Linked DNA regions of Arabidopsis thaliana. The protein of the gene in region 2 interacts with the protein of the main gene of each other region in a pairwise test. Each region holds a gene or a part of one and is shown on either strand. Other genes may lie near its edges. The genes, in order: TCP3, ATE1, AT1G20910 and AT2G22760.

Evidence for each region.
Region 1: the proteins of ATE1 (region 2) and TCP3 interact in binary tests that used the Arabidopsis thaliana proteins (3 or more experiments, as listed by UniProt).
Region 3: the proteins of ATE1 (region 2) and AT1G20910 interact in binary tests that used the Arabidopsis thaliana proteins (3 or more experiments, as listed by UniProt).
Region 4: the proteins of ATE1 (region 2) and AT2G22760 interact in binary tests that used the Arabidopsis thaliana proteins (3 or more experiments, as listed by UniProt).

What each region holds. Positions count from the first base shown.
Region 1 is NC_003070.9:19,849,249-19,853,451, reverse strand, and holds TCP3 (TEOSINTE BRANCHED 1, cycloidea and PCF transcription factor 3), read left to right. Parts: upstream 1-1,726; 5' UTR 1,727-2,016; coding exon 2,017-3,192; 3' UTR 3,193-3,250; exon of another isoform or gene 3,251-3,251; intron 3,252-3,344; 3' UTR 3,345-3,664; downstream 3,665-4,203. UniProt on the Arabidopsis thaliana protein: Plays a pivotal role in the control of morphogenesis of shoot organs by negatively regulating the expression of boundary-specific genes such as CUC genes, probably through the induction of miRNA (e.g. miR164). Participates in ovule development.
Region 2 is NC_003076.8:1,712,126-1,717,528, reverse strand, and holds ATE1 (arginine-tRNA protein transferase 1), read left to right. Parts: upstream 1-1,797; 5' UTR 1,798-1,889; coding exon 1,890-2,022; intron 2,023-2,183; coding exon 2,184-2,222; exon of another isoform or gene 2,223-2,314; coding exon 2,315-2,465; intron 2,466-2,695; coding exon 2,696-3,796; intron 3,797-3,977; coding exon 3,978-4,335; intron 4,336-4,462; coding exon 4,463-4,579; 3' UTR 4,580-4,859; downstream 4,860-5,403. Other genes in the region: AT5G05720 (RNA-binding (RRM/RBD/RNP motifs) family protein), read right to left, coding at 134-166, 249-363, 431-541, 657-658; AT5G05710 (Pleckstrin homology (PH) domain superfamily protein), read right to left, coding at 1,152-1,586. UniProt on the Arabidopsis thaliana protein: Involved in the post-translational conjugation of arginine to the N-terminal aspartate or glutamate of a protein. This arginylation is required for degradation of the protein via the ubiquitin pathway. Component of the N-end rule pathway with ATE2 and PRT6.
Region 3 is NC_003070.9:7,276,435-7,283,217, reverse strand, and holds AT1G20910 (ARID/BRIGHT DNA-binding domain-containing protein), read left to right. Parts: upstream 1-1,981; 5' UTR 1,982-2,239; intron 2,240-2,567; 5' UTR 2,568-2,582; coding exon 2,583-2,870; intron 2,871-3,003; coding exon 3,004-3,137; intron 3,138-3,222; coding exon 3,223-3,262; intron 3,263-3,631; coding exon 3,632-3,684; intron 3,685-3,780; coding exon 3,781-3,826; intron 3,827-4,084; coding exon 4,085-4,177; intron 4,178-4,619; coding exon 4,620-4,742; intron 4,743-4,897; coding exon 4,898-4,946; intron 4,947-5,023; coding exon 5,024-5,087; intron 5,088-5,257; coding exon 5,258-5,324; intron 5,325-5,435; coding exon 5,436-5,486; intron 5,487-5,728; coding exon 5,729-5,821; coding exon of another isoform or gene 5,822-5,899; exon of another isoform or gene 5,900-5,913; coding exon 5,914-6,009; 3' UTR 6,010-6,275; downstream 6,276-6,783.
Region 4 is NC_003071.7:9,676,085-9,680,041, reverse strand, and holds AT2G22760 (basic helix-loop-helix (bHLH) DNA-binding superfamily protein), read right to left. Parts: upstream 2,199-3,957; 5' UTR 2,031-2,198; coding exon 1,590-2,030; intron 1,452-1,589; coding exon 1,074-1,451; coding exon of another isoform or gene 1,038-1,073; exon of another isoform or gene 946-1,037; coding exon 877-945; 3' UTR 540-876; downstream 1-539.

The DNA.
Region 1 (4,203 bases), on a different chromosome or scaffold from region 2:
GGGTGATGGGGAGTGTACTTACTGACACACATGCGATCGAAAAACACTAAAAGCCTATAGGGTATATTCGTAAATTTATTTAGACTACACTTGGTTGAGTAGGTGCAATGGGAAACATTTATTTGAAATTTGATTCCATCTTTGCCTTACATATCGATACGTCATCTTTTTATGTGTGCATTGTCATTATTTGATGATCAAGAATATGGTACCAAATACATTATATATCAGAAAAGTTCGTATGACTACGGGTATTTAATTAAAAATACAGTACATGCATGGTCGGTGTGTATAATGGAGAAGTAGTTAGAAAGAGAATTTGTGGTAATGACAAAAAAATGGAAAACAATAATTGATTGTGTCCTAAACCAGTGAACCGTGCGATATTTCGTGCCTTTAAATTTGATGTTGCATGTCGTAGAACGATGTTTTGATAATTTCTTCTCTTGGGAAGGTAAAAGAAAAAATTATGGATTCAATGCAGATTGGCTCGATGAGTAGGAAACGCACTTACAAAAAACATAAATCTCCTATCTACAATCACATATTTCTTCTTATATCTCTCTTGAAATCTCTACATGAATCACACCTAAAATGTTCATATTTAATCACATACCATACTTGTATTAGTATGTCAAATGCTCGGGATTTCCTTGTTAACAAAAAAGAAAAAAAAAACTGATTGAGTTACCAAATTACGTATATATACACATTTTTATCTTTGTTTAAAGGAAATTCAAGTTAATTTTAAACTAAAACTATGTACAAGTATGTATCTCTATTATTTTCGTTTTCCATCTGAAACTTTACTACGTTTGGTTAATTAAAAGTGGGATTGACGAACAGTGGAGTTCGAGAACAGATAGTGGAAAGGAGCATAGACAATGGTTGATTATAGGGATACTGTCGAATCCTACGGATACTGGTGATGCATTTTACAGGGTGTAACCTCTAAAACCAATACAATTTGATTCGATGAAAATAATACTTTATTTGTTTAAAATAATACCATCAATATTAGTTTATACCGCCCAATTATTAGTGTCTCCAACTCTCCAACAGATCTAAAAGCTTTACTTTTTAGTTTTTATTATAAAAGAAATCTTCTTGTATTGTCTTTTTTTCCAACAACCCAAAACCTTTACTACCTCAAAAGTTCTGTATTAATATTTTCTAACACAGTACAGAACAATCTTTGACTTGGTAAAATTTGGGTTTATTAGTGCTTATAGTTTCTATCATCTTTAACAAAAAAAAATAGTGGTAGTCAGAACCAAACCTAAGAGGACTATGTATATGTGTTGATATTCTTACAGTAACCTCTACCAAAATATATCCATTGTAATGTATATAGCTAATACAATTCGAAATGTCATGTAAAATATTTCCACATGATGAATCGGACAAAAGCTTTTTGTTTTTCATTTAGAAAAACCATAAAATATATAATATAAAATAAGAAAACACTTTAAAAATGAAATAAAAGCACAAGTGATGATGATGAGTATCAGAGAGCTCTTTTTATGACCAAACACACTCCTTCCATTACCATTTCCCTCTCTTCCCCAAACCCCAAAATCTCTTCCTTTTTTTACCGTTACTGTAAATTTTCCGGCCAGAAACAAAAAATTAAAAAGAGCTTTCCTGGATTCTCGTTTAGTCAATTCCACATCTCTCTATCTCTTCTCTCTCTTCTTGCTTCCTCTGTTTTTGCTTCTTGAATTCTCAGAAACAGAGACAAATTCTAAAAAAGAAACAATCTTTAGACAAAAGAAGAGAAATTTAGTCATGGGTTAGTCTGCAAAATTCAATTACGTCTTCTTCTTCTTCTTCTTCTTCATCTTTGATTTGTTGGCGTGTTTAGGGTTTGGGATTTGGAGGAGAGGCAAAATGTTGAATTAAATAAATCGAACGACTCTGGATTCCTCGGCGGTTAACGACCGCCGTCGCCGCCGCCGTCATAATCCAACCACCACCACCATCAACGACCTTGAATTTCCACAATATGCTTCATCAATGGCACCAGATAACGACCATTTCTTAGATTCTCCGTCGCCGCCTCTTCTAGAGATGAGACACCACCAATCAGCGACGGAGAACGGTGGTGGTTGCGGCGAGATTGTGGAGGTACAAGGAGGTCACATTGTTCGGTCAACAGGAAGAAAAGACAGACATAGTAAAGTATGTACAGCGAAAGGACCACGTGACCGGCGCGTGAGACTCTCAGCTCCGACGGCGATTCAATTCTACGATGTTCAAGATAGACTTGGTTTTGATCGACCAAGTAAAGCTGTTGATTGGCTTATTACTAAAGCTAAATCCGCCATTGATGATCTTGCTCAGCTTCCTCCTTGGAACCCCGCCGATACTCTTCGTCAACACGCCGCCGCTGCTGCTAACGCTAAACCCAGAAAAACCAAAACTTTAATTTCTCCGCCACCGCCACAACCGGAAGAAACAGAGCATCATCGAATCGGAGAAGAAGAAGATAACGAATCGAGTTTTCTTCCGGCGTCAATGGATTCTGATTCGATAGCTGACACTATAAAGTCGTTTTTTCCGGTAGCTTCAACGCAACAGAGCTATCATCATCAGCCACCGTCACGAGGCAATACACAGAACCAAGATCTTCTTCGTCTCTCGCTTCAATCTTTCCAAAATGGTCCACCTTTTCCTAATCAAACAGAACCTGCTCTGTTCTCCGGCCAGAGCAATAATCAGTTAGCGTTTGACTCATCGACGGCAAGCTGGGAACAGAGTCATCAGTCACCGGAATTTGGAAAGATACAGAGACTAGTGTCATGGAACAACGTCGGAGCAGCTGAATCCGCCGGAAGTACCGGAGGATTTGTGTTTGCTTCTCCGTCGTCGTTGCATCCAGTTTATAGCCAAAGTCAGCTTTTATCACAGAGGGGTCCCCTTCAGTCCATTAACACACCTATGATTCGTGCTTGGTTTGATCCTCACCATCATCATCATCATCATCAGCAGTCCATGACCACTGACGATCTCCACCATCATCATCCCTACCATATCCCTCCCGGGATTCACCAATCTGCTATTCCAGGCATTGCATTTGCTTCAAGTGGTGAATTCTCCGGTTTTCGTATACCAGCACGGTTTCAAGGCGAACAAGAGGAGCACGGCGGCGACAACAAGCCGTCCTCTGCTTCATCCGATTCTCGCCATTAAACAAGTTCCAAAAACACATAAGATTGTGCAACACAACAGGTTTCTTTTCATATTCCAGGTTTGAAGTTTTTCGAAAACAACACCCATTTGTGAAAGTCTTGTCTTTTAACCATTCATCAAATTGATAACTTACATTGTTTTTAACGTTTCAGGGCGCTTCGAATGCGTGGAATAGTGAAGGCGGTTTTCGTTGTTGTGTGTTTCGAATATCCAAATGGCCTATAAATCTGATCAACAGTTTCAGGTTCTTCTTAAGTCTTTAAAAGCCTAGGCCTTGGTTAATTTGAATTCATCTTGTATCAATTAGAGAACGTTCTGTAAGTTCAATTCTGTTTTACAATGTTTAGCTCTAGCTACATGAGCTCACATCTTGTTTGTTGTAACTTGTTCTACAATTACTTGTCCTTTATTTATGTTCTTGTGTTGGAAACCTTTAACCCCACTTGAAGCTAAAGTCTTTTGTTTGCCCTTTATTCCATGTGGGTTTAATGCTTTCCCCAAGAAATATCTCATTTTGTTTGCCAATCCCAAAGAGGAACAGTGCTCTATCCATCTACATCAATCATCATATTGTTTGGTTTAGCGTTTATTAGAAGTATTATCTTCCCAATCTCTGTGGTTATAAACTTTCTTTTGACTAGCAAATGGAATTTGAAACAATCATTTCTCTTGTGTTTCTTAGTCTCTTCTTTTGGCCCCATAGATGAAGAGTCACTTTCCATAGACAGGGTTTGCATGTGTTGCTTCTTTTGGAGTTTAGAGTTTAGAATTATGGGTTTCTTTTAAAATTTGTTTAGTGGATGCAAGCTCTGATACTTAGTAAGAGTTTTGGCCCATGATCCACGGATCCCTATATAAATATCAGAGAAATGGTTTTTGACTTCTTTTCATAGAATCTTCCTCAATACTAGATTTCAAGATTTTATGAAAAAGGAGCAAAAGAGAATTTGATGTCTAGTGTCAAATAACTGTCTACTTTAAACAAGAGTGTAGGAGATCCACCGAACTTGA
Region 2 (5,403 bases):
ACCAAAAAAACTTTGTTACAATGAATGCTTCGATTTGTTTGAGTGTTTTTGATAAAGAATGTTGACAACAGAAAAAGAGTTTGAAAGGCTAGCCGAGATCTTGTTCATGAGAATGTTCACTATTTTCATTAACCTTCCCTTCTTCCCTCGGAGGAGGGTCCGCAACCTATATACCAAGGAGAATCTGATTTAGATTTGAAACTAGTACTACATAAGTGAAACTGAGTAATTAAGTGAAGATTAATAACCTCAACAGATATTCGATAAGTATCAATGAAACACTTGTTAACATATGTGATAGCATCTTGAGCTTCTTGTTCAGTACGAAAGCCAATATAAGCAAATTGTCTACTTTTGCCATCACTGCAAAAGCAAAACGAAATATAGTGACACAAGAATTAGCTGTGAAAAACACTCGATTTGAATGTACCTTTTACGCTTCAATTTCACGTCTGCGATTTCTCCTTTTCGTGAAAAGACATCTCGAAGTCGTTCCTCTGTCACATGTTTGGAAGGAAGATTCTTAACGATTATCCAAGACCTGTAATTTACAGAAGGCCGAAACAAAAAAAAATAACTTGCCTACATTGATTGTTTTCTGCTAAACCTAATTAGTTAAAGGAAAAAGAAAACTGTTGTGGGAAATCAATACTTACATTCTCAAGTTAGGGTTTCTAATAGACGAAGAAGATGGATTTTGTTTCCTTCTTGCAATGTTTTTGAAGACTCTAAGAGTGTCGGACTAGGAAGAAGAAGAAGAGGAGAGGGGTTTTAGGTATTTTGTTGTTCCTTCCAGACCCGGCCCTGAATGGAAGCGGGTAGGGTTTAGGACACTTAATGACGAGAGGAACTTTCCATACATGCATCTTAGTCTGTACGACGAAGTTATTGTATTTGATCACGTGCAAAAGGTATTGCTTCTGTTACCATATTTGGTAAGTACATGTTTGAAGAACCATATAAGTCTTTGAACCAGAAGCGTTGCCCTTGAAGAATTAGGTTTTATATTATATGTTTTTCGGATATGAGTTCATGTTTTCAAGCAGAGACAAAGCTTTTCATTTCTTGATTTTGTAAGATTTACATTTAAGACTCCATCAATGAAAGCTGTGATCATAATCACTTTGACAAAAGACAAAAACAGAGAAACTTTAGTGTTTGTTATCGTAATCAACGATCTCAGAATCGGTAACGGATCTGGAGTTTTGCACGATGGAACGTCCAATGGAATTGATCCAATCTTCTTTCTCCTTCTCCGAATCAGCAATGAAGTACATAGTCTCATTTCTCGTCGATAGCTCGAACGCGTTTTGCTTGTTGAGTACATCCTCTGCTCCTTTAGCGGTTAAGCACGATTCTACGGGGACGACACCGCGAGGGCGTGACACACGCGTGACGTCGGAGTCTTTGAACCAGAAGAGTTTCCCTTGTTTGAGCACGAACCATCGGCGTCGCCAAGTCTTGATGTACTCTCCTTGTTTCGTGAGCCAGCCGGTTCGTTCTGGGTTTGACCAGAACTCTACGCCTCCGTAGTCTTCGGAATTGTTGTTCTGACCGCCGATTACTGCTCGCCACAGGCTTGCCATCTTCCGAAGATTGAACTGGAGAATTAGGGTTTTGATCCAAATCTGCCGATGCTATCGAAAATCTGTTTATCGATTCCATTATTTTTTCGTGTTTATCTTTTGCCCCAAAATGTTTTTATTTTTCATTTTCTTCCCTTAAAATATTTATAATTACATAACAACCCCTTCATTTTGCCAATTGCATAACAGTCAGCAACAATGTTTTAATATTGAAAAAAAAAGTCAAATGTGAAAGAAGATTATGTCTTCTTCTCCAAACGGAAAGAGCTTAGCAAAATTCTTCTGAATGAATAATCGGCGATTATGTCTTTGAAAAACGATGCGAGTAGTAGCCACGACGGTGGAAGCAACAGAGAAAGCGTAATCGATGATCATGGCCGCCGTAAAAGCACTTGCGGCTACTGTAAATCCCCAGCTCGGTCCAGTATCTCTCACGGTTCGTTTAATTTTGCTTTTCTTACGGATTAGGTTGTTGAATCGATCGATTAGAGTAGAATCTTCTCGAATTGCTCATATGCTTGATAAGAATTGATTTTGTTTATGATCTTAAAGTTCCAATGAATAAATGATTGATAAACATAGTGAATGTCAATGCAGGTTTATCAGCACAGACTCTTACCGTTTATGACTACCAAGGTTTGTTGCTATTATTGGACTCTATGTGTGATGAACCAATTTTGTTGACAGAATAGAGATCTTTTATGTATCTTTGCTTTACTTTTCTGTAGCTCTTATTGACCGAGGCTGGAGAAGATCTGGTACTTATCTTTACAAACATGAGATGGATAAAACGTGTTGCCCTCCTTATACGATACGTTTGAAAGCAAGTGATTTTGTTCCTACTAAAGAGCAGCAGCGAGTTTCTAGAAGACTAGAAAGGTGCATATAGCTTCACTTTGCTTCTCTTTTTGGATCAATAGATGAAAGTTTTTGTGGTGTTAGTTGTTTCATGTTATTGGCTTAGTCGGAAAGGTTTTACCTTTGAAACATGCATATGAGGAGAGATCTATGATTCTGATGTGTAAATATTCTTCACGATCTTCAGATTTCTCTAATGAAGTCGTTCATTGAAGAGCTTCCTGAATTTTCTTAATAATGTTTTGTCAAAGGTTCTTGGATGGCAAACTAGATGTGCAGCCCAGGGAACAAAGAGGTGCTTCTTCCTCTGGTGATGTTTCAGATACAAGGAGAAAAACACTTGGAGCTGCTAAAAGTGAAGAGAATAAGAAAGTTGAAGCAGTTATGGATGATTTGTCTAAAAATATTGACCAAGCTGTGCAATTATGCATACGGAGTGGGGAATTCCCGTCTAATATGCAGATACCAAAAGCTTCAGTGAAGAAGGTTTTCTGTGCTAGAAGAAAGAAACTAGCTGAAGGAACAGAACAAATCTTATACACCAGCAACATTGCTTTTCCAATAGCAGCTGCAATAAAACGCATCCAGACATCTGAGAAAGAGGGGATAAATAGTGCAGAAGGAAATAGATTATCACCTGAAACTATTTCTGAGATGTTGTTGAGTGCAATGCATAAGGTGGGGGAAACTCCTGATGTGTCTATCAAAGTCTGTAAGGGCCATATCAATTTCCTTTCATCTGCCAAAGATTCTTTTTCTGATAGAGATGTTGTACCTAATGGTAACATCTCGAGAGGAGCCAATTCTTTAGATGGAAGTGAAACCCTTCACGCTAAGAAGGATTCAGAAAACCATCAGGCAAGAAAGCGAAAGCTGGAGATACATTTGAAAAGGTCTAGTTTTGATCCTGAAGAACATGAGTTATACAAACGGTATCAGCTGAAAGTGCACAATGATAAGCCAGGGCACGTTGTAGAAAGTTCATACAGAAGGTTTTTGGTCGACTCTCCTTTAATAGATGTTCAACCTTCAGGTGATGAAAAGGTTCCGCCTTGTGGCTTCGGCTCTTTCCACCAACAATATAGAATTGATGGCCGCCTAATTGCCGTCGGGGTTGTAGACATTCTTCCTAAATGTTTGTCAAGTGTATACTTATTCTGGGATCCAGACTATGCATTCTTATCGCTCGGAAAATATTCTGCCATTCAAGAAATTAATTGGGTTATAGAGAACCAAGCTCGCTGCCCTTCTCTTCAGTATTACTATCTTGGTTATTATATACATTCCTGCAGCAAGATGAGATATAAAGCAGCCTATCGTCCATCTGAGCTTCTATGTCCTCTCCGTTTCCAGTAAGTTACAACCAAACTGAGTCGTATATTTTTTTACTCTATGCCTTAGTTTATCATTGATCTCCTCTCATATGAAGTTCTGGTACTTGTAAAAAGATATTTATGTCCTCTTCTTAGACATGTCATTGAAGTGAAGAGACTGGTAAATGTAAGTTTTTAACACTCGGAGTTGTGTTTCCAGGTGGGTTCCATTTGAAGTAGCAAGGCCGATGCTTGATAAAAAGCCATATGTCATATTGTCCGATATTGCTATTTCACATAATCAATGTTCTTTACTAGCTGGTGCTTCTGAAACTCTCGTGGAACCAGCAGCAAGTGAACATGAAGACATGGAACAAGGGGAGACGAATGATAACTTTATGGGCTGCAGTGATGAGGATGAAGATGAGGATGAGGATGATGATGATGATGATGATGATGATGAGGAAATGTATGAGACTGAATCAGAGGACTCTCATATTGAGTCAGACCCTGGATCCAAAGATAACGACATTAACAACATCCTTATCGGTCTTTATGGATCCCAATATAGATACAAGGTACATCAAACTTCTTCTTCTTTTTTTGTTTCTTTTTGAATTATCATAGCTAATTGGGTATTTATTGAGCATTATCAAACTCTCCTCATATTGATGACAACTAAACAAAAAAAAATGGATTTGGAAGGAAATGCGGCAGATCATAACTCCCGTAGGCAGGAAGCAACTGGAACCGATGTTACAAAGCTACCGCAAGGTTGTGGGCGCTGAGCTTTCAGAGAGAATGGTGTATGAAATCAACTGAAGCTTCAACAATACCAAGCTCCATTGAGCTTTGGTACCATTAGTCATTAGATAAAACTCAAAATTGTTTGTATTCATGTTTCAGTTGTTGTATATCTATGACTATGAGACTTGTACATGGTGTCTTTCTTTAAGTTTGTATTTTCTGATTACCTTTATATTGAAAAAATTTCTGTCCAAGAAGTTGAAAACTAACTTACTGTTCATGAAGTAGTTTTTGTCAATCTTTGGTACGTACATATGGTTTTGTTATGCTTTTTAATTTTTGCAAGAAACAAACTACAAATAGAGAGGTTTTATTACGATAATAAAAGTTTATAATAATAACTATTGGGAGATATCCAAAACTATATTATTTGTAATATTATCGAGCTACATATCAGCAATTCAGCATTACAGATATAAATGTATAAAAAATAGTAAAAGGAGAAAGGGAATGAGGAGGAGAGAGGCGCACGTGGGGAGGCCTGACAGTGAAAAAGAAAGGCAAAGGCCCACACGAGCAGATTTCAGACTTTGGGAAGTGTTAAGTAAAAAAGAATAAAGGTTTTTTAAATTTTTTTTAACATTCTCAGAATTTTTGCAGCAGAACACTTTTTACCACATCTCTCACACGTGTGCCCCTCCTCGTCTTCCGTAATCTTCTTTTTTTTTCTTGACCCTTTTGACCGCTAGCTACTTCTCCTACTAGGAGTATCTTCTTCTTCTTTTTTTCTTTTTTAAAATGTATTTGAAACTACCAATTTAAATCCAAAGAGTTTTGAAGCTTTTCTTCACAACGACACAAAATCTAGTCACGACCCGACACAGCAAAAGTTACTATTT
Region 3 (6,783 bases), on a different chromosome or scaffold from region 2:
GATTATGTAATTATATTATGATTGTTATTATATGTTTTTTTCCATAGCATACTATCCCATGTTATTATCCACTCAAACCCGTCACACCATATAACCCCGTCCCGTGAAATTAAACACAAATTTGTCATTTTATTATAAATTTTAAATATTTATAAAATTAGAAACTTCAAAAAAGATTAATATTGACCCAAACTTCATCATTGAATTTTGAGTGTTATATCTAAGATTTCTCTCGCAGTATATCGTCCCGTATTAATATCTTTTATATTGTTTAAATTTCTTGTAATATTTAATTTATAATTTTTTAAACTTTTTAAAGTTTCAATTTTTTAAAATAAATAACCCTAGTAAAACAAACCATTTTAATTTTGGACACCTCATAAATCAAGTTTCATGCTCATTCGTAATCGAAATCATTTTGGTCCTTTTTATAGTATGGCTCTTGACCATTGTCCAATTTTTTTAAGCGATATAGAACATTCTAAAATCGTAATTATTATCCACCCAAACCCGTCCTACCATATAATCCAGTCCCGTGAAATTAAACATAATTTTGTCATTTTCTTATAAATTTCAATATTATAAAATTTGAAACTTAAAAAAATACAATATCGACCCAATTTTTAAGATTTTTCCTGTAATATATCATCTCGTATTAATATATTTTTTCTATATTTGTAATGTTTAAATTTCTTGTAAAATTCAATTTATAATTTTTAAAACTTTATAAGTTTTAAAATTATAAATATTTAAAGCATTTTTTAAAGATAAACTTTATAAAAAGTTTTTAAAATTATAATATTTAACATTTGATAAAGTTATAATATTTATAATTTTTTGAAACATTTTAAAGTTTTAATTCTTTAAAATAAAAAATCCGAGTAAAATCGGATAACTATTTTAATTTTGGACGCCTGATAAATCAAGCTTCATGCTCATTCATAATCAGAATCATTTTGGTCCTTTTATAATATGGGTCTGAACCATTGTCCAATTTTTCTAAGCGATGTTGGACATTGTACACATATTATTTCTTCATAGGTTGAATAATATATGTCCGTTTTAAAAAATTTGAATTACATCATATTCAGAAAAAAATATAATATTTTATTAACTATATATATTTTATATAAATTCAAAATAAATAAAGTATAAGATCAAATAAAATTGAAAGAAGAATTATATATTTATGTTTAAATTAGGTAGAAATATTTTAGGAAATTAGTTAAGGTAAATAAGAAATATGGTTAGTTTAGAGATATTGTTTATATTAAATTTGGTAATTAAATCATTAATTTTCGTTTTTAATTATTAGTTTTTAGGTAACTTTTCCAAAAACTAATGTTATCCAAGATCAGAACTGAATTAAACATGTTATCCAGGATCTGAACAGAGTTAAGCCGAGTAAAACCCACCCATTTGAATTAATTGTTGAATTATGGCTCAAATCTTCAACATTATCTTCAAAAATCCCCTCCAAACATGTATATATAGATATTTCCATTATGATATAGTTTTCACATCTTAACTCCAAATCATGAAACCTAAATTTTATTTCCAAGTCTCAACATCATATATTTTAATTATCATCTTGAACTTCTTGTTAAAAATATAAAATTAATTCATAAACTTTTCTATAAACCTAAGTTTTTTAATATTTTTTGTATCGTATTTATACTAATTTCGATCTTCTTTGTTTCCTCCGTAATCGTTGTCGTAATTTCGTAAACCTAAATTTCATATAGCTCCTTTCTTCTATGTATATATGTTTTGTACAATGTTTCATATATATAATAACACCCTTTGGCAAAAAAAAAAAAAAAACTTTTTCAATGTTTATCTTTCGTGGTTATTACATATAGTAGAAATCCCAACATTCAACAACAATAAAAGGTTACAAATCCTATATTTACCAAAAATTAAGAAAGTCTAAAAAGACTAATAGATACAAAAAGAAGAAAAGAAATTGTTTACTTTTTGAGTGTAAAACAAATTAAAGTTAAAAACCACATAACATCCCCCATCCCATCTTTTTTACTAATACCTTCCTCCATTAACATAAGATTGTCTCTCCTCTTTCGAATTGTCTCTCCTTTTTCAGCTCTCTCTCTGTATCTCCTTCTTCTTCTTCTTCCTCCAGCTTCTTTCAATTTCTCCGGCTGCTAAACCCTAGCGCGCCGTCGGAGTCCCTGCGTTCTCATACCAACCTTTACTCGCCGTCGCCGTCGCTGCAGAACTGGTAAGCATATGTTTTTTTTTGCTGCTCTCTGTATTCTATGGAAGCTGAAAGGTCTTCTCGGCTTGTTTATCTGTGGTAGTTTTGATTAGGATGAGGTTTTGTAGTAATAGAGTGAGTGAGTTTGCTCCAATTCTTAATTGCGTTTAGAGATAGAAGAGAGAGAGAGAGAGAAGCTATAGTTTCCAGGCGGAGAAGAAAGACAATTCCTTTTTGTTTAATCTGGAATCACCAATAGTTAGTTATATACAGTTTTTTTATCTTCTTCGTTTTTTTCTTCTGGATTTGTTCTTTTGTCCTTGTCTTGCTGTGACTGACTACTCCACAACAGAAATCGAAGCTTAAGATGGTGGATACCGAAATGCAAGAGCAAGATGTGACTTTTGGTGCCCTTGTTGAGACAAAGTATTTAGAGGAAGAACCTTTGGAGCCAGAAAATGATCACAACCCTAGTGAAATCCCGCAGCCCCTTCTTCTTGGAGATGGTCAGGCTAATAATGGTCATGGCATGAATGGTGGTGCTGTTGGAGTTGTTGACCACTCTGAAAGGAAGACTCGTAGGGTGCAAATGTTGAGTCCTAAGACTGAAGGTGAGAATGCCAAAAAGAGGAAGACTTGGCTGCTGGATTCTGAGGTACTAGGCTATGTTTCTTTCAATTTGGCTCAAAAAGCCTGTGTCTTTTTGTTTTCTCAGGATTGGATTTCACTGTTTTGTGGTCGAAAATTATGTGGTGATTGTTCACTTACTGGTTCACCTTTCTCTACAGGCACAGGGAACTGATGAAGCAGGGACACCGGTAGAACAAGTGGCGTTTCTAAGAGAAGTGGAGGCCTTTTACAAAGAGAGTTTCCTGGAATTTAAACCTCCTAAGTTTTATGGACAGCCTTTAAACATTCTCAAGTGAGTTGTTGGAAAAGTGGTGCTTTTGTTCTTAATAAACCCATATATCTGGTTAATCAGTGCCTCACTTTTGCATCCAATGTAGGCTTTGGCGAGCAGTCGTGAACCTAGGTGGCTATGAAGTGGTAATTATCCAAAACCATATCGTTTTTAGTTCGTCAGTTTATAAGTCTTGGTTATTTAAGTTGGCCCGTATGATTATCACCTACATTTTATTGTTTGAATTGTGGATGGCATATGAACTGTATATAGGGTATAACTATTGAATCCGTAAGCTAATTTATGATAAGAGTATCTATAACGATGTGGCTTTCAGAGAAGATTTATGACTTTAAGCGAACATATCAAACATTAAAGAATGTTCGATATTTTCTTGGGAAACTGATTTATTTTACTGTTGTTAGCTATATTTGGAATTATATATTCAATGTTTTCTTAATCTTCTGCTGGACTTATGGTCTTTAAGATTCCTTTGTTTTTTCATGGTAATGTAGGTCACCACAAATAAGCTGTGGCGGCAAGTTGGAGAATCCTTCAATCCTCCCAAGTATGGCTGATATTTTCCTTAGACTCTCCGTTAGTCTTTACCAATTTTTCATAATGCTAATCTTTTTCCACATTTGGTTAAACTATCTTTATTCAGGACATGCACAACAGTCTCCTACACATTCCGCAATTTCTATGAGAAGGTGAGTTTGTTTTTGTGCATAAGTATCGTATATTTATCCTGTCTTCATTTTTACTTATCCACTTCAGACAATTCTCCTTGTGCTTCTTCTTAGTATGGTGTGTTATAATAGTTAGTTTAATTCTTTGTCTTGCTGAGGTAGCTCTTTATTTTGGACTATTCTTTTGTCACTTCGAAGTTTGAATGCACTGCTTGTTTTCTTTCTATCTTATCATATAGATACAGGTACATATGATCTATATCTTTGCTTCAATTGCAGGCACTTTTGGAGTACGAAAAGTGTTTAAGGAATAATGGTGAGCTTAACCTTCCTGGTTCAACATTGATTCTGTCTTCCAGTGTCGAGAAAGAGGTATGAATTTCCCCTAAAAAAATGGCTTTTGGATTTTAGACACTACTGAATAATATATAGAAATAATGGTAGATATGGAAAGTTTGGATGAAGATCGATCTAGCACCGTAAAATTAATGAAGAGTATCTACTTGTCAATTTATTGTGGGAAGGTTTCATGTACTGTGATTAAATGTCGTTGATACTGAAGAAATGATAGCATAAGAGTTATTTTTCAGCATTTATGTAATACCAGCTAAACCTTTTAAACCCAACTATCTGCAATCTGACTGAAGAAAGCTGTAGCCATTTTGTGTTCGATACAAAAGCCATAAGAAATCCGTGTGCATAACCCAGTAAATTACCATATAAGTTGCAGAAAACCTAAACGAAAATTCATGTGCCTCCCTTTTTTTCCCTTCTCCATATTTTTTTCTTCCCTGATACAAGGACTTTGCTGTAGCCAAGTAGCCATCAAGGTTCAGGGTCAGGCAGGGCACGAAGAGATTCTGCAGCTCGTGCTATGCAAGGTTGGCATGCGCAGCGCCTTGTTGGATCTGGAGAGGTTACTGCGCCTGCTGTTAAGGTTTCACTTCAAATCTTACTGCACTTTGTGATTCCATTATGCAGAATTTTTTCATGCACCAAGGAATCTGACTCACATGTAGAAAGAAGAAGACTTTTTATTTCTTTTGTCGTTTTTTATTTCGGAAGTAAAATGATGTTCTCCTTTTGTTTCAGGATAAGGGCTTAATTTCCACCCCAAAGCACAAGAAACTCAAAAGCATTGGTACAAAATAGTTCTCAAGGCTTTGCTATTTTGTCAACGAGGGTTGCTTAACGTTATGTTTTAAACGGTTTTTTCAGGGCTGCAAAAACACAAACAACAAACTAGCATGGACCATGTTGTTACAAATGAAGCTGACAAACAGTTACGGAAAGCTGATCTCTCCTTCTTATTTGCAATTCTAAGATAGTTATATTAGTTTTTTGGTTCTTCTTTCAATGCCTCTTAGCAGTAATGAGATGAAAACGTAGCATTTTCTGGACCTGAACATATTACTATAGATTAACGTTAAGGTTTCCTTTTTGTCATGATAGGTTGGCTGCTGAGGTTGTTGATGTTGGACCCGTTGCTGACTGGGTGAAGATAAATGTCAAAGAATCTGTGAGTAACTTCTGCCAACGGCTAAAGAAACGCCAAAAACTTGCAAACTGGATGTTTGTTTCCAATATGGAATTCTTACCAAATCTGTTTTCCTTTTTCTTGAATTCACAGAAGGATTCCTTCGAGATATTTGCCTTGGTACCTGGACTTCTTCGCAAAGAGGTGAGCACTCCTTTGTAACCCTGTCTCTGAAGGCTACTTGATAAGTCCTTGTCTTTTAATTTTGTTTGAATGCATATTACTGTGACAATACAAAGCAAGCACAAAGCGATTTGGTAGGTTACCAAAGCAGATCCGTTGGCTTTAGTTTCATAGTCTCAGTACACAGTGTTGTAGGCAATAAGTATTTTCTGGTAAAATCAGTACATAGTTCCAATTACTGAACATACGTTGTCTTTTCTCAGGTTCGAATTCAATCAGATCCTGCGGGAAAGGTGGTTATAACAGGCCAGCCAGAGCAGCTTGACAATCCTTGGGGGATTACACCCTTCAAAAAGGTAAAACTTTCTTCTATATTCCAGATATGTCCATTAACTGAACTGATACAGAGACTGAGAACCTTCCTGTCATTTTGATATGTTTTCACCAGATTGTTGACTTATCAGCAAGAATTGATCCGCTTCACACATCCGCGGTCATGAGCATGCATGGACGGTTGTTCATACGAGTTCCGTTTGAGCAGTAATGGATTTCAAGAGAGCTGGTCAGTTGTTCGTGGTTTCTTCTAGGAATTCATATGTTTCAGAACCAAATTGTTAGGCGGCTGAAGCAGTTTTGTAACTGTGATTTGAATCTGAAGACTGAAGTTAGGAACATGCAACAAACATTTGATCTTACTGTAATATTTCTCTTTTGTATAATTTGAGATTAGTAGGAGAAACTGCTCCAAAGACATTTAGGATGCAACCAACAATGATGATTTTGATCTAAAATCGGAATGTTATGCTTTTCTTATACATATTTTTTTAATAGAGATGAATAGATTTGCCTATCCCATCTACTAGTTCTACTTCCAATAGTATACTTTTAGGTTCTCATGCGTTTCGGTTTTCAAAAGTTCTCCTGAGATGATTTGTTTTCAAAAAGTGAAAGTGAAAGTATGCATATATTGGTGGTGCATATTATTAAAGGGAAAACGAAAACAGCAAAAAACTTATTGACATTTCCCTGAATCTAAAAAGTTCATGATCGGGAATATATGATTTAGAAAAGAAAAAAAGGTTCATTACTTGTTTATATATATATATATATATGTATCATCAATTCATGACGAAAATTTAAGGTTCAAAAGTTTTGAAGCTCACTCTAGTTTTTGAGTCATCAGAAAATACTGCAGTATTAAGACAAGAAACATTATTCTCAACTTGTTTTCTTTCTCTTTAATCATGCAAAAAGGTTCACACTTCACAGTGATCAAAAAAGGTTTTTTATTGCTGATTCTCAACTTGGTGTAGCTCAA
Region 4 (3,957 bases), on a different chromosome or scaffold from region 2:
AGAAATGATTTTGTTAGGTGGTACTCAAAGGTTTTGAATTGGCTTTTAATCGTACCGCGTCGTGCGGCAATTATTATTTGGTCACGTCCCTCCGATACTGCCCTTGCCCTATGACTTCTAAATAGTTATTGGTAAATAGTAATAAATTTGGTTGAATTTAGCGTCATTTTTTTTTGAGCAAATGTAGCTTTTTTTTTTGTCGAAAGCAAATGTAGCTAAGTTGTTGAATTTGCTAACTACTGAAACTTTCAAAATAAATTACGAAAACTATAATTGTATATCTTTATTGGGGCAAAACTATAGATAATTAAGTTAATTCTTTTAATCCATTTTCATGCCCTACTATTTTTTCGTAAATATTTCAGAATTTTGTAACATTGACCTTCGATGTAATTTTGCTTTCTACAATATCTTTTTAATGTCAAGCAATCTTCTTTTCCTTTTTTTTTTTTTTTTTGATTGGTTAAAAGGTTTGCTTTCTACAATATGTTTCTTGTTGACATGAATGTGAATTTCATTAAGAATTGAAGAGGGTTTGTCAATAATTACAAAATACTTTAACAAGTCAGAAGGCATTACGACCATGCTAAGGATAAGGCCACATTTGTTTTTTTTTTTTGGACAGCGGATAAGGCCACATTTATTTCTGCCACTTAATAAAAAAACAATTCTGTTATATTTTAAATTCATTATTAACAAACAAAAAATGTTACATCTAAATTAATTCTCAACGGTCGTTATCGGAAATAGCTTTGCTAAAAAAACACATCAAACATGTGGGCACGTGTGAAAAAATCTCAAGAAGAAAACGATAGCAAATCCACGAAACGATTGTGTCAATGTACAGTCTCAGGTTACTAAAACTTGAAAGAAGACCTAAACCATTGCGAGTCTCAGGTTCCGTACAAGATCCTTAAGTATACTCATCGAAAAATCTTTATCCATCTGCCACACAAAAAGTTAAGAAAGCATAATTGTAGATTATCAGTTTCATTAATACATCAATATTATATTGGATGAACTACGAGTTATCCATTTTAGTATTGCATATATATATAGTTATTAATGATCACCTGTGCAAGGACTGTGATGTCGAGAGTCGAGTCTCCGAATGGCAATACGATGCTATTTTCAATGCGCAATTGAAAGTTTTCAATTGTGTTTAGTATGTTGATCATGCACCCTTTGCTTTTCTCGCAAAGGATTCGGATGAGAATGTCATTTTGAGAAATTTTCGCTTCGATTTCTGGTAATGCTTGATCGAATTCAATATGAACTGAAGGAGAACATGATAGGTTAGGTTCCTCGTCGAAAAACACTTTAGATTTCTTTACAAGAATCATGGATTCCATTTGTCTCGTTGCTTCTTTTTCTTCCTTGAGCGTTCTTAGTTGTTCTTGGAGTTGTTTCATACGCGAGATCGCGTCATCAAGAATCGTTACCTTGTCCGCCTAAAAAACCACAAGATAGTTTTGTATTCTCAAAACCAATTGACACTGATGAATTATTATTTTTTCTTCACTATGAAAATATCTATAGTTAAATATATAACAAATTTATCGATAATTTACAATTTAAATTTGCAATACCTTCTTAAGCCCGGGAAGGAGAGCTGAAAGAGCAATGAATTTTTCAGAAAGCTTCTCACGGCGCTTTCTCTCGGCTAAAACATGTTCTTTCGCAAGAACCGGAGATCTTGTGCCATGAGAACATGTTTTTCTTTTGGTTCCACGACCAACCAATTTATCCATAATGATCTCCTCCGCGGCTGGAGAAGAAATAACATTACTAGAGAAATCAAAAGAAATCAGTTGTTGCTTGTTGTTGATCTTCATCATAGGCTTCACCGCTGCCTTTGGCTTCTCTCTGAGGCACTCAAAATGCATTTGATGATCAAACTTTGACGATTGATCAGCTCTTCGTGAATTTGATAAAGATTCATCAGGTGATAAATTATTTTCTTCGTAAATATTAAAGTCGAAATCAATGTCTACTAGTGAGAAATCGGGTAAGAAAAAATCTTCATCCATACCCGAATATGAAGTAATAATCGATAAAGAAATGTCAAATAGTTTCCTGATTAAGACAAAGATAAATCGAGAGACGTCTTTATTGTTTTGTCGTAAAGGGTTTATGAATAGAAAGTGTTTTCAGGTATTCTTACTATATATTCGACAACGAGACGCGGCTTAAATTATTTTCTCCACTCCATAATTATGTTGACCAGATTGTGTATATAATGCATAAAACGTGACGTATATGTATAAACTAAACATATTATGATCGAAACTAGAAGTCTTCTCATTATTGTCTATAATGATCGTATAATTTGTTGGCTTCTAGTGGTCTGAGATTCATATACGTGTTATGAATTTGAAAAAAAAAAAACTACGTGTTATGGACCCAAAAAAAAAAAGTAAGAGAAGAGAGACGTGTAAATAAAATAAGCACGTGTTTTTGGTGTTGAGCTTATTCCCACTCGGAAACAACAAGGATATAGAAAAACTCTGTAAAGCCTCGTCCCCGTCTTCCCGTCCATCTAACAACCTCATTACTTTTTATAAAGGAAAATATACAAAAGTTATACTTTATTATCTTTTATTTATTATTTTAATTGTAATTTTATCCAAAAAAAAATCATATGAAATGTTAAGTTTTATACCGTTTGCAAATTTTTCATCCAGAAAATTACATTGTTAAATTGAAAGAGAAAAAAAACAAAATTTACTTACGAAACAAAAAATTACAACAATTTTTTAATGAGTTTGAAAATTCATGAACATATCTCGACTCGTTATACTGCAATAAATTAGATTAATGGTGGATATGATATCGAGGGATATGTTGCAGAAGAAGTTATGATACCATGTGGATGTCGACATCTATACATTTATAAACAAGTTGTGTTTGATAATTAATCGATCATACTGTTTTGTCTTTAAACTCAATTTGATTCCGATAAGGCGATAACGACCCCAGACATAATAAATGTCCCTACTCCCTACCAAACGGGTTATTTAGTCTTAACTGCACTAATAAGAGGCCAGACCAGGTTGGTATGATGACGAATTCACATATACATCCACTATCCAGCCCAAAAATGCAATGGTTCTGGGCCATGGCCATTTAAAAACAAACATTTCATATGAAGGATTTATGTAAGAAAATTAAAAAGTTAATATGCCTACAATATAAGATCCAAAATTAAGGCTTCCAATTAGTCTGGGTCGGTTTAATTCACTAGTTCTCTGATGAAACGATTATGTACTGATTCGACTAATTCAATGTAATGACTAAACAAAAAAAAAATAAAAATGTAATGACTAAAAAACTGGATAATGAATTAATATGAGCAAAAAAAGAATTAATATGACAAACATATTTTTAACTAAATTATAAATATCAAAATTAGAAATTGTTCAATTGGTACTGATAGTTTTTTTTAAACAGTACCAAAAATATTAAAATTATAAATTGCCTTTGTCTCTAGTAATATTGGACCTAATTGTTTCTTCTTCACAAGCAATTTTATTAAAAAGGTGGACTAGCTTTAATTTGCTCATCATCCCTTCGACAAAAACCCAAAAATTGAAATGGTCTCGGCATTCGCAATTTGAGTTTGAATATATTTTTCCGTAAGCAGATCAGGAACTTGCTCTCCAACGCAAATTCGGAACGTTAGGAATCCTAAGTCTAACTTAGGATAAACGCCAATGTATGCGGCATGGAATTGGTAAGCTCTTGGAATATTCTTTCCGTAGTAATGCGTACTACAATTATATGTGTGTACATGTCTATCGTCACGATATATTTGATAATAAAGATTTGGTACGTATCTCTTGAAATGAAGTCACAACAGTGCCTTTTAAAAAGGTCAGTAGAATTATAAAATGGAGATTTTGTTAGAAAATTTTGGATACGAAATCTGGATAACATATAATATTTTTTTATTTATGA